Oryctolagus cuniculus: one gene and its partners. The protein of the gene in region 2 purifies or fractionates together with the protein of the main gene of each other region. This does not show direct contact. Links are inferred from orthologs where the notes say so. Each region holds a gene or a part of one and is shown on either strand. Other genes may lie near its edges.

What was found.
Region 1: the proteins of FASLG (region 2) and SNX33 purify together in Homo sapiens (co-immunoprecipitation; 3 studies listed by BioGRID and IntAct, counting the BioPlex papers as one, with this or other methods). This does not show direct contact. The link is inferred for Oryctolagus cuniculus from reciprocal best matches to the Homo sapiens genes FASLG and SNX33.
Region 3: the proteins of FASLG (region 2) and SNX9 purify together in Homo sapiens (co-immunoprecipitation; 3 studies listed by BioGRID and IntAct, with this or other methods). This does not show direct contact. The link is inferred for Oryctolagus cuniculus from reciprocal best matches to the Homo sapiens genes FASLG and SNX9.

The regions. Positions count from the first base shown.
Region 1 is NC_091443.1:108,355,103-108,358,491, forward strand, and holds the end of SNX33 (sorting nexin-33), read right to left. Parts: intron 1,760-3,389; coding exon 1,506-1,759; 3' UTR 618-1,505; downstream 1-617. UniProt on the Homo sapiens protein: Plays a role in the reorganization of the cytoskeleton, endocytosis and cellular vesicle trafficking via its interactions with membranes, WASL, DNM1 and DNM2. Acts both during interphase and at the end of mitotic cell divisions.
Region 2 is NC_091438.1:1,347,435-1,350,322, reverse strand, and holds the end of FASLG (tumor necrosis factor ligand superfamily member 6), read right to left. Parts: intron 1,948-2,888; coding exon 1,553-1,947; 3' UTR 634-1,552; downstream 1-633. UniProt on the Homo sapiens protein: Cytokine that binds to TNFRSF6/FAS, a receptor that transduces the apoptotic signal into cells. Involved in cytotoxic T-cell-mediated apoptosis, natural killer cell-mediated apoptosis and in T-cell development.
Region 3 is NC_091436.1:9,859,939-9,864,326, reverse strand, and holds the start of SNX9 (sorting nexin-9), read left to right. Parts: upstream 1-1,539; 5' UTR 1,540-1,732; coding exon 1,733-1,744; intron 1,745-4,388. UniProt on the Homo sapiens protein: Involved in endocytosis and intracellular vesicle trafficking, both during interphase and at the end of mitosis. Required for efficient progress through mitosis and cytokinesis. Required for normal formation of the cleavage furrow at the end of mitosis.

The DNA of each region.
Region 1 (3,389 bases), on a different chromosome or scaffold from region 2:
GGCTGGGCTGGAAAATGAAGGCAGGAGGTGGTGGGGGTGGGATCCCTCAGAAAGTCCCAGATCTGACCTAATTAGGACCCAGAGCCAGGAGGACCCATTCGCCCCCAGCAGGGAGCCCAGGCTGCCCCTCCCCCAGCACGCCTGCCTCTCCAGGGACACATCAGCTCCTGGTTAGCTCTAACCTGGGAGCCCCTGCAGGCCTGGACCCTGGGACCGCCCAGGCAGGACCCAGCTTCTGCGTCTCTCCGTCCTTCTGCCCAGACCCGAGCTTTGCAGGGGTGAGGCTGGGATCTGGCTCCCTGGGGAAGAGGAGGCTCCTGCTCCCCAGACCATCCTGGGGCCCAGCCTCCTACTCCTTCCCCAGCCCACCTCAGGGGCATGGGGCAGGGGCACAGTCAGGCCCCGGGGCAGGGCGCCACCCATTTCAGAGATGAGGAGAGGGAGGCCTCGGGAGGGAGGGCATCCAGCAGGGGCCCGTGGCCACCTCCCACTCCCCCCAGCCAGCTTGCCTTTGGGAGCACCTGGCAAGACCTGCGCCCACCGAGGCCCCTAAGTCTGGCCCACGGCCCCTCCCCCAGGCTCTCAACCCTCCCGGATTGGCTCAGAAAAGGCCGCGGTTCCGTGGTCCGAATCATGAAAGGTTTATCGAGAAGAAAGACAGAAAAGCAGCAGCAGCCAGGAGCAGTTCATGACGTCCTGGGGGCCGCGGTGGCACAGGTCAGCTGCCCCCAACACCGCCAGGCCACACCCTGGGTGCAGCGTGGGGAGGCAGCGACCCCGGAGGATGTAAACATAGGTGGCAGGCACAACCTGACCGGGAGCAGGAGCGTGCATCACAGTGAAGCTGGCCGAGGGCAGATGGGCCTGGGCCCCGGGGTGGGGGTGGGGCCAGTTTACTCCCCTGGGGCTCCCCTCTGTGCATTGGGCAGGACTGAGCAGACCCCAGGGCCTGTGTGGAATGTGGGGAGTTCTTGCTGGTCAACTTAGGTAGCCAGGACCTATGCGGGTCGCCGTCAGGAAGGCGCCCACCAGGACCCCCTGTGGTCCATGGGGTGTCCCCGCACCGGAGCGGGGTACGGCAGGGTCCGCGGTGGGAGGGGCTTGGCCTGCAGCCGCTGCTCCAGGAACCCGCCAGGGACACGGGAGCGACGGGGGTCCCCTCCCTCGGCTGCGCGGGCCAGCATCGCCGTGCAGCGGGCACAGATGTGCCTGCGAGAGCGAGAGGGACAGGAGACAGCCGTATCCACCGGCCCAGCTGGCCGGGCTCCTCTCGGTGCTCCCCACGGTCCTGCCCACCGCTGGAACGGCACCCCTCTGCGGCACGGCCGGCGTCATAGGCACTGCCTTCCTCTCTGACCCTCGCTCGGAGGCGCCCCCCACCCCGCCCGGGGCAGGCCTCTGACAGGCCCCGGGGGAGGCTGAGGCCAGGCTGGGCCTCCAGCGACCTGGAGGGGTCAGCCCCGCGCCTCCAGCCCCGCCCCCGCCCGGCCCGGCCCCGCGGCGCGTCAGAGGCTGTCGTACATGCGCAGCGTCTTCTCCAGCTGCTGGGCCACGCGCTGGTAGAAGAGGATCTGCTGGCGCAGGTAGCTCTGCATCATGTGCTTGAAGTCCAGCTCGCGGCGCTGGTGGAAGTGGTTCATCTCGGCCTGCAGGGCGAAGCCCACCACGCGGCAGCGCCGGCGGATGCCGTCCGCCTCGTCCTGCGCCATGCGGCCCTCGTCGCTCATGCGCTGGCTTTCCTTCACCTTGGCGAAGGCGCCTGGGGGGAGGGGACAGGCGTGAGGGCGCCCCGCCCCCTCCCGGAACCCCGCCCCCAGCTCCGCCGCACGTCCTGACCCGGCCGCCGCAGCCCCCTGCTACCTGTATCTACCTCCAGGACCAGGGGGCTCCTGTCCTGCACCGCTCGTGCTGGCTGCTCATTCAGCTCCGATGCCACCTCGTCCAGGAAGGCTTCCCTGCACCCCGGTGGGAGGTCGCTGCCAGGTTCCCTGGGCTCTGTGCCACCACAGCTCTGGCCATCCTGCGGTTTCCCTGACCACCTGCCTCTGTCCACATCCTTCCAGGGCCCTGGTGCCGCCCAGAGCGAGGCCTGGGCCCTGGCGGATGGTGAGGCGTCTGTGGCTCTGACTCGGGCCCCGTCCCTCCCAGTCCCTGGCCCTCCGTCCCACTCTGGGCAGCACCTGAAAGAGGTCCCTCGAGGTGGCACCTTCCCTGGCACCTGGCCCAGGAAGCCCCTGCACAGGCTCCTCACGGGCCCCCAGCTCACCAGCTCAGCCTGTCCTGTCCTGCCTTCGGGCCTCTGCCCTCAGAGCCCCTATTCATAATTCAAGGCCCGGATCAGGTGCCGCTTCTACACCAGAGCGCCCGGTGCCCCCTCCCCCATCTGCCCTCCCCGGGCTCCCACCCCGCCCCCACCACACCCACTGCCAAGGCCACCTGCCGTGTCTCCCACCCAGCCCCCAGGGGACCAGAGGAGCAAGTGACAGATGGGCAGCGGGATGAACCTGCACAGGAGAGCCACTGCGGAAGCATCTGGATCGCTGCGCAGCCTGGCAGCTCCGAGCCACAGGCGCTTTGGTGGTGGGGGCACCTGACCTGTGCCGGGCACCGCCTCCTCGGGGAGGGGGGGCGCTCTGGGACTCTGCCTTGCAAGGAGGTGGGGAGGGCTAGGGAGGGAGGCGGCACCCCCAGCCGGCTCCCCCCTGCCTGCCTCTCCCAGATGGTTGTGCTACCCTCACTCCAGTTGAATGACACTGCAGAGCGCTCTGAGGGAGGAGCTACAGCGGCCCAGGCCCAGGGCTCTGCATCTGCACGCCTTTAAAAGGAGCGGCACCCACATGGTGGGGCAGTGTGTGGCTCGCTGGCCAACAGTGGCCTTTCCCCAGGGCTGCCTATACAACACCCCAAAGAAAACCTGCAGCCCCCAACTCCCAGCCCACTCGGCACCCCCACGGTTCAGCCCTGGGCAGAAGGGGACTCTCCACCAAGGGCCAGGAGGGGGCCCAGCGAGAGCCACCCTTCACCCCACTACTGTGAGGAAAAACTGAGGCCTGGATGGGGCAGTACTTGCCTAAGGGCTCCCAACCCCCTTCCTGGCCCACGGGGTGCCTGGCCCACAGGCCAGTCCGGGGTGGATGCCACCTCTCTGCAGGGGGCTCTGCGGGGTCTTCCAGGAGAACACGGGGGCTCAGGAAGGTCCCCAGGGGTGAGACGGGCAACGAGGAAGGTAGGCCAGAGCAGGACCCGGAATGCGAGCCCGGACCCCACCTTCCCGGGCAAGGCGGGCACAGGGAGGGCAGAGCGACACCCAGGAGGCCTCGGAGGAAGGCAAGGCGCTTTCTGCCGCCAAGACTAAGGCCCGAGGGGTAGGAACAGACCAGGCACCACTC
Region 2 (2,888 bases):
TAGAACCAGTGCCCATATGGGATGCCAGCACTTCAGGCTGGTGCTTTAGCCTGCTGTGCCACAGCGCTGGCCCCAATAAATAAATCTTTTTTTAAAAATAGGAAAAGTCATTGCAAGCAACAAGTGTGGGAAGGTAAGAAACCAAGTGTTTGGATGGATCCCATAGATCAGTGACTTCTTCTAGAGAATACAGTATCTCTGATGAACTGGCTTATTAGAAATGCCATTTTTATGTCTTACTATGTTTCAGATACTCTCTGGATGCATCAGCCTTTTTTTTTTTTTGTCCAAGGAAGGTCCATAGGGAACATAGAAAGTGGAAGAGCAAAGATTCAAATCCAGGTTCTTTAGCCCAAAATCTGTGCCCCTTGCCCTATGTCACAGCCCCAGAATAAGGCAAGTGCCATCAAATCTGTGGAAAATTGGGTAAGCTCACCACTGACATTAACAGTGGTAAAGGAAACTCTGAATAATAATGAGTGGAGAGGAAAGAGAACGTAGAGAGAAAAGGAAGACCTGACCAAATGGAAAGATGCCTCACAGTTCTCACCCCAGTAAATTCTTCTCCAAGTGTTCTAAGTCCTGAAGAATGAAGAAATCATGGAGGAAAGAAATAATAAGCAACAAACTGAATTTTAGTGATTTCCAAAAACTGTATTCATATTTATCTATATTCTAAAGTAGGTTTACTCCATGTAATATTTCATTAAAATATACAGAATGGATATAAATATTGCTTATAAAGAAAAACATCAGCAGCAGCTGACCATCAGAGATTTTTGAGGACTATTAGAGTTGGTTGCCAAGAAGCATTCCACATCTACCACCAAATGCAACCCGTATTTTCCAAAAATGCACTTCATAATTTTCACACTCCATACATATGTGACTCCTCTCTTCCTCTCCCTCTTGCTCTCCCACATAGACACACACACACACACACAAACACACACACACACACACCCCTACCATTGCACTGGAAATACACATGCAGTGTAGGGAATGAGCTGAGTCCCCAAAAGACCCCTCTTGCTTGTCTGTTAGCATCACTTGGCAGCTCATGCTACTAATTTCGAAGTAAAGATGCTGCCAAGCAGGCATCAGACTCGTTCAGTCTCTTTAGCTTATCTTGCAAGTCCTTTTCCATCCCTTGCACACTCATGTAACAACCAAATACGTGAAATGCATCCTCTGCTGAGGTAGCAAGTAGACCCACCTCAAGAGGTGAGGTAAAAGGTATCTTTTAAAATGTGCTGAAATTCTCTTGGCCACTTAACATGAATGTAGAATGCCTGGTAGTGACCTTTCAATGCTTTTGATCTTCACATGACAGCCAGGAGTTCTATGTTCTTCAGTCATCTTCCTCCTCCTGCCTGGCCCATGGACCTTGGGTGAGACTTGGAACTGCAGACCTGCTGGACCCTGTGGTCTCCAGGTCCTCATGGTTCATGGCTTGACCTCAAGAGGGACCTAAGAAGACCCTCAGTCAAGACAACATTCTCGGTGCCTGTAACAGGAATTGTAATGGCATCCCAAAGTACTTTTTTTTTTATCAGAGCTTATATAAACCAAAGAATGTCTTTGATTCCTCAAAATTGACCAGTGATATCTCAGAGACATTGACATATACATGGTCGGCACTGGTGAGATTAAACACTGCCCCCAGGTAGCTGCTCCGGGCCCACATCTGGCCAGTAGTACAGTAGTTCATCATCTTCTCTTCCATCAGCATCAGATCCTGGTGATACTTAGAGTTTTTCATGTAGACTTTGTGGGTCAGTGGCTGGTTGCTGCAGGACTGGCCACGGAAGTACACTTTAGAATACACAAAGTACAGCCCAGTGTCATTGATCACAAGGTTGCCCTTCTTATACTTCAGTCCGGAAACCAGGGCAATTCCATAGGTGTCTTCCCATTCCAAAGGGTTGGACCTTGAGTTGGACTTGCCTAAAATAAACCAGAGAGGAGCTTTCAGCCAGCAGTACTCATGCATTGGAAAAACTAGGCTTGCAAGGTGAAACTGCGGACTCATTAACAAATTTTCACCCAGTGACATAGCCTATACAGAGCTGGCTGAGGAATCTGAACTCAATCCATCACTGAGCTCCATCAATGCTTTTGTTGAATGGCCTGCCTCAATCTTAGCATCCACACAACTGGGACAGTGATACACGTACCTAGTCGATCATGACGAGAAATTATCAAGTCCGTGTAACTCTTAGAAGCAAAGATTTTATTATCTTAAGTATTAGCATCAAAACTGCTAGGCTTTAGGTTTTTTCATTTGGAAAAGCCAAACCTAAGCCAAAATTCTAAAGTCTGGAAAGATTTCAGGGATTATCTGTCCATTTCTTACCTAAAGTAATGACTCTTCAGCCCCTCAATTTGGGCTAAAATTCGCTTTCTTCTGTGTCCTTATTCCCTTTTTCTATTATCAGAGAACTCTCTCTGTTACTGAAATTGTCACTAAGTGCTTGTCTTTTTCTATTTGATTTCAAGCTCCTTGAAGGCAGGAACTGTGTTACCCATCTGCATGCTCCCAAACCTTGGCACAAAGCAGGTGCTCAATAAATGTTGGCCCAACTGGGTCATTCCACAGTCTCTGCCTAAATAATTCTAGGAACCATGGCATTCCTCTTTCTGTGATATGTGCCCAATTTCCAGCTATTTATGAAGTTTACAGTGGGAATATCCATAACATAATGTTGTTAAGTATTTCATTCCACCTCACACTCACAGGATTAAAGTTCACAAGTACAAGGACTGAGTCTCCTCTCCCAATCCTGTTTCTACTTGTGGACAAAGCAAATTGAAGCTCTCCCAGGAAACCAGGGAAGCACTGGCTAAAATAATTCCATACAGCCCACCTCCTAAGCTCTTTTCTCTTG
Region 3 (4,388 bases), on a different chromosome or scaffold from region 2:
TAGGATTTGGTTTGTATGATGCGCCTTATTTATTGACATAGTCCTATGAGCAAACACAGTTTGCTTTCCGTTTGGGGTTATTACAGAACAATGCTTGTTGATGAATATCTTTTTTACTTGTAACAATCAGAATTCCCAGCTGTGTTATGTCATTTTCAAATTTCAATGTTTGGGGGGGCGGTGCTGTGGCATAACGGGTAGACCCGGCTGTTCCACTTCTGATCCGGCTCTCTGCTGTGGCCTGGGAAAGCAGTAGAAGATGGCCCAAGTGCTTGGGCCCCTGCACCCACGTGGGAGACCCAGAGGAAGCTCCTGGCTCCTGGCTTTGGATCGGCACAGCTGCGGGCCGTTGCAGCCATTTGGAGAGTGAACCTGCAGATGGAAGACCTCTCTCTCTCTGGCTCTCTCCCTCTATTTCTCTGTTAACTCTGCCTTTCAAATAATAAATAAATCTTTAAAAAACCACACCTTTTTATGAAAATTATGACTAGGGCTTCGACAGTGAGCTCAACGAAGAGACTGACAGCCCATTCTGTAGCACAGGTACACACCATGACTGACCGCGGCTAAGTGAAGTCTCCCGAGGTCGAACACAGCAGTTAGGAGCAGACACAAATTTCACATTACCTCGAGATTCTATTCCCCTAGCCTAATAACGCTGATCTGATGGTTCTTTTTCAACAAACACATCCCTGATAACAAAACCAAAATACAATCTTCTCCCAATAAAGGTATACGCCCCAGGCTTGTCTTGTTCTTGAGTCAAAAATCTTGCTCCACCTAAGTCGTTTGTTTATGAACAAAACCCGCAGACCCAACTCTGGAGAAAAGAGGGAAAATTTTCAGCGCTCTCATCTCCATTTCACCAACCCTCTGGGGTCCTGGGGCTTTTTTAAACTTCGCGAGAAGGAGGCTAATGGGACGGATCGGGAGTAAGTGCCCCGGCCTCCCGGCCCGGCCGGGACCGCCGCCTGAGGGAAGCCGGGCGGGCGCTGGAAGCCATTGCTCAGCTCCTCGCCTCGCCGCGCGCGTGTGCGTGTGCGTGTGTGTGGCACCCCTGGGCCTCGGCCCTGAGCACAAGCGACCCCACAGTGGCGCAGAGACCCCGGGCGGGCGACTCCGGTCCTGCCGGGGCGCGTCGAGAGTTCTTGTGGCCGCCCTCCCGCCTCACGCACGGGGAAGCCGCGGGGCCGGCGTGTGTGCAGGGGCCGGGGCTCGGCTCCCTCGGCGGGGCGCTCCCCAGTGCGGCCCCTGTCTCTACCACACGCGGGGCGGCCATGGGGGTGCCGCTGGGGGCCGCGACCCGGGCTCTGCACCCGACCCCAGCCTCGAACAGAAGGCGGCGGCGGCGGCCGCCCGGGGCGGGGGCTCGGCGCGGGGGCGGCCAGTGCGCCTAGAGGCCGGGCCGCGGCCGCGGGCCCCGGGCGCGCTTCCGCCGGCCGCGCCGCGCACGCCGCGGTCCATGGGAGGCTTGGCCGGCAGGGGCGGGGGCCGCGCAGCCGGGGACTTTCAGGAACTGCAGGAGCGGGCGGCGGCGGGAGTCGCCCAGCGCCAGCGGCGGGGCCTGAGCGCGAGAGCAGGGCTGAGGCGGAGCCGCCGCCGCCGCCGCCGCCGCCGCCGCCGCCGCGCCGGGGCCCAGCCGTAGCCGCCGCCCTCGCCTGCCCGACTTCGGGCCGACCAGCCGCGGCGCGGGAAACGAGCCGGCCGTCCCGGGCCGGGGGAGCCGCCCGCCATGGCCACCAAGGTGAGGGGCGCGCGGCCCAGGCCCCGCCGGCCGCTCGGCGCCGGGAGGGTCCGTCCCGGGGGCGCCGCGAAGGCCGACGGCGGCCTCCAGCGCTCGCCGTGGGGTCCCCCGGCCGGCCCGCGGCCCAGCCAGCACCCTGTGGCCGTGGGTGCCGGAGGGCCGGGAGCACGGGCGGCCGGGCTGGTGGGGAGCGCGGGCGTCGGGGACTGACTCGGGCCTGGGGCGGGTCGAGACCCCGGGTGGGTGCGGGACCCCGGGCTGCGGGCGGTTTGCAAAGTTAGCACCTGAGCGGGGGCTGCAGGCGGGCGCGCCGGGGACCTAAAGTTCCCGCAGCCCCGGAGGTCCCGGGAGGCCGCTCGGTCCGCAGGCGACCGGCGCTGCGTGGTGTCCGGCGGCTCCTCCACCTCCCTCCCTCGGCCGGACGGTGGCCCCTGGACGCCCGGGGCGGTGTGGGGACCCGAACCCCAGCCCGGCAGGACGCGGCGCTTTAAATCCCGGGAGGGGAGCCCCGGCGCTCCCGCCGCCTTCACTTCGGAGTGTTTTTCGTCGGGTTTGCTGCTTTTTTCATGTTGAATGGTGTTGCCAGTCTGAGTAAAACAGCAAGAGGGAAATGAGTACGCTTTCGATTACGTGTTTGCTTGAAAAAAAAAAAAAAAAAAAAAGGCCCAGGCCCGAGTTACGTGATGGAACTTTGACTCCTGCCTGGTGATGAGCCAGGAGTGGTGGTTTGCTGCTTCTACGGTCTGGTTTGTGAGATTAGCAGGCACCCTTTGCCACCTGAGTCTGCAAAAGCCGAGACCCCCCTCCCCGCTTTCCTGGGCGCATTCGGGAGTTCGTTGGTGTGGACACTTGATGTGGTCACGGGGAGAGCCAGGGGCGCAGCCAGAGGACGGGGCAGGGGCTTCCACCCCGAGCTGGTGTGGGCAGTGGGTTTCCTTCCGCGTGGATTTTGTAATGGCACTTCGTTAAACAGCACCCTTTTCCACATGTATTTTTTGAGCCTCCCAAAGCCCCTTTTGGGTGGGTGAACACCTTCCATTTTTGTTATTGGTGGTGTTGGTTTTTAAGTAAGAGGGATAATTCCAGGAAGTGATAGGGAGTTTGAAATCGCTTTGAAAGATCAGAATTGTCTGATCGCCTTTCCAACCTGTTGATGAACGTGTCCAGAATCCATCCAGGGCTGTCCTTGCCGGAAATCATTGCCTTCTTGTCAATATGTGATTGACTATGCTGGCTTCATTAGACGTGATAGAACTTGCCACCTTTTTGACATGTACTGATTTTGTGTTGACCTTCTTAAAATAAAATTTAAGTCCAGAACTAAGGAAATGTGATTCTGAAGTTTGTTGCCAAGCATTTCAGAAATTACCAGTGACACGTCCTGTTACACACTCACTGTCTTGCCAATTTCAAAGCAGCCTGTGACTGGCACAGCTTAGGGACTAATGCAGGTACACGCGATGAAAATTTTCTTTGGTAACTAGGCCTGAACTTGATTTTTTTTTTCATAAAATTGGAAAGGACAGTGTTTTTTATTATTATTTTAAAGATTGATTATATATATGAAAGGCAGAGCTACAGAAAGGCAGAGAGAAAGATGTTCCACCCACTGGTTCACTCTGGCCACAGCTGAGCTGATCCAAAGCCAAGAGCTTCTTTCGGGTCCCCCACGTGGGTGCAGGGGCTCAGGGACTTGGGCCATCTGCTGCTGCTTCCCTAGGCCACAGCAGAGAGTTGGATTGGAAATGGAGCAGCTGGGACCCGAACCGACGTCCACATGGGATGCTGGTGCTGCAGTCTGGGGCTTTGGCCCACTGCGCCACGGCGCCGGCCCCAGGCCAGTGGTTCTTGTGCTTGGCTCACTCAACACAAGCCCTAGGATGTGTAAGCGCCTTCTGCTTTGTTATCTGCCCTACTCTGAAGGCGAATTCCGGTCTTTCTGGCATTCAGTTTTCTAAGCCCGGTTCCACAAGGCCCCCATTTCCATGTTTACATTGGGACAGACTTGCCATTTTAAGAGAAAGAAGAGCAAGGCAGCCCTCAGGAAAGAGGCCCCTTCCTTAGTTTCTGGTTTTCCTAATTCCTGGTGGTTCTCGGGTCCAGCCAGAGCCTCATTCTTCATTGTCCACAGAAGCAGATTGTCCCTGTTGTGTCCACGATACAAATCCCCCACCCTTCCCACTTCCCCTTCTCTACTGGGTAGGTGGGGAGCGTGTACTCAGTATGCAGTAAACACTAACCTCTGATGAAGTCTTAGATGCCAGCGACCTGCATGCTGTCACTATGCAATGATGAGAATGAACTCAGTGTTTGAGTACCTGGTGGTGTTGCGTTTCCTTTTGAACTTACCAGAGAAGGGCTCTAGTTCTCTTCAGAGAAACTTTTTGTATGTATTGTTCTTACATGTTTCTTTGAAGGTGCAGTTTTTCTGGACTATCTTGATTTTTAAAAATTCCATTGGTATAAACACAATAGAAGAAAAATAGAAGTCATCTTTTAGGAGGACTTCCATTGGGCTGAAGAGAGTTAATCAGTACCTGCACACTTTAAAGGGATTATTGGGATTTTTTCGAATCTCTACCAGCAGAATGCTGAATTTACCATTTTGAGTCCAGTCATATCTCATTTAACAGATATCATGAAA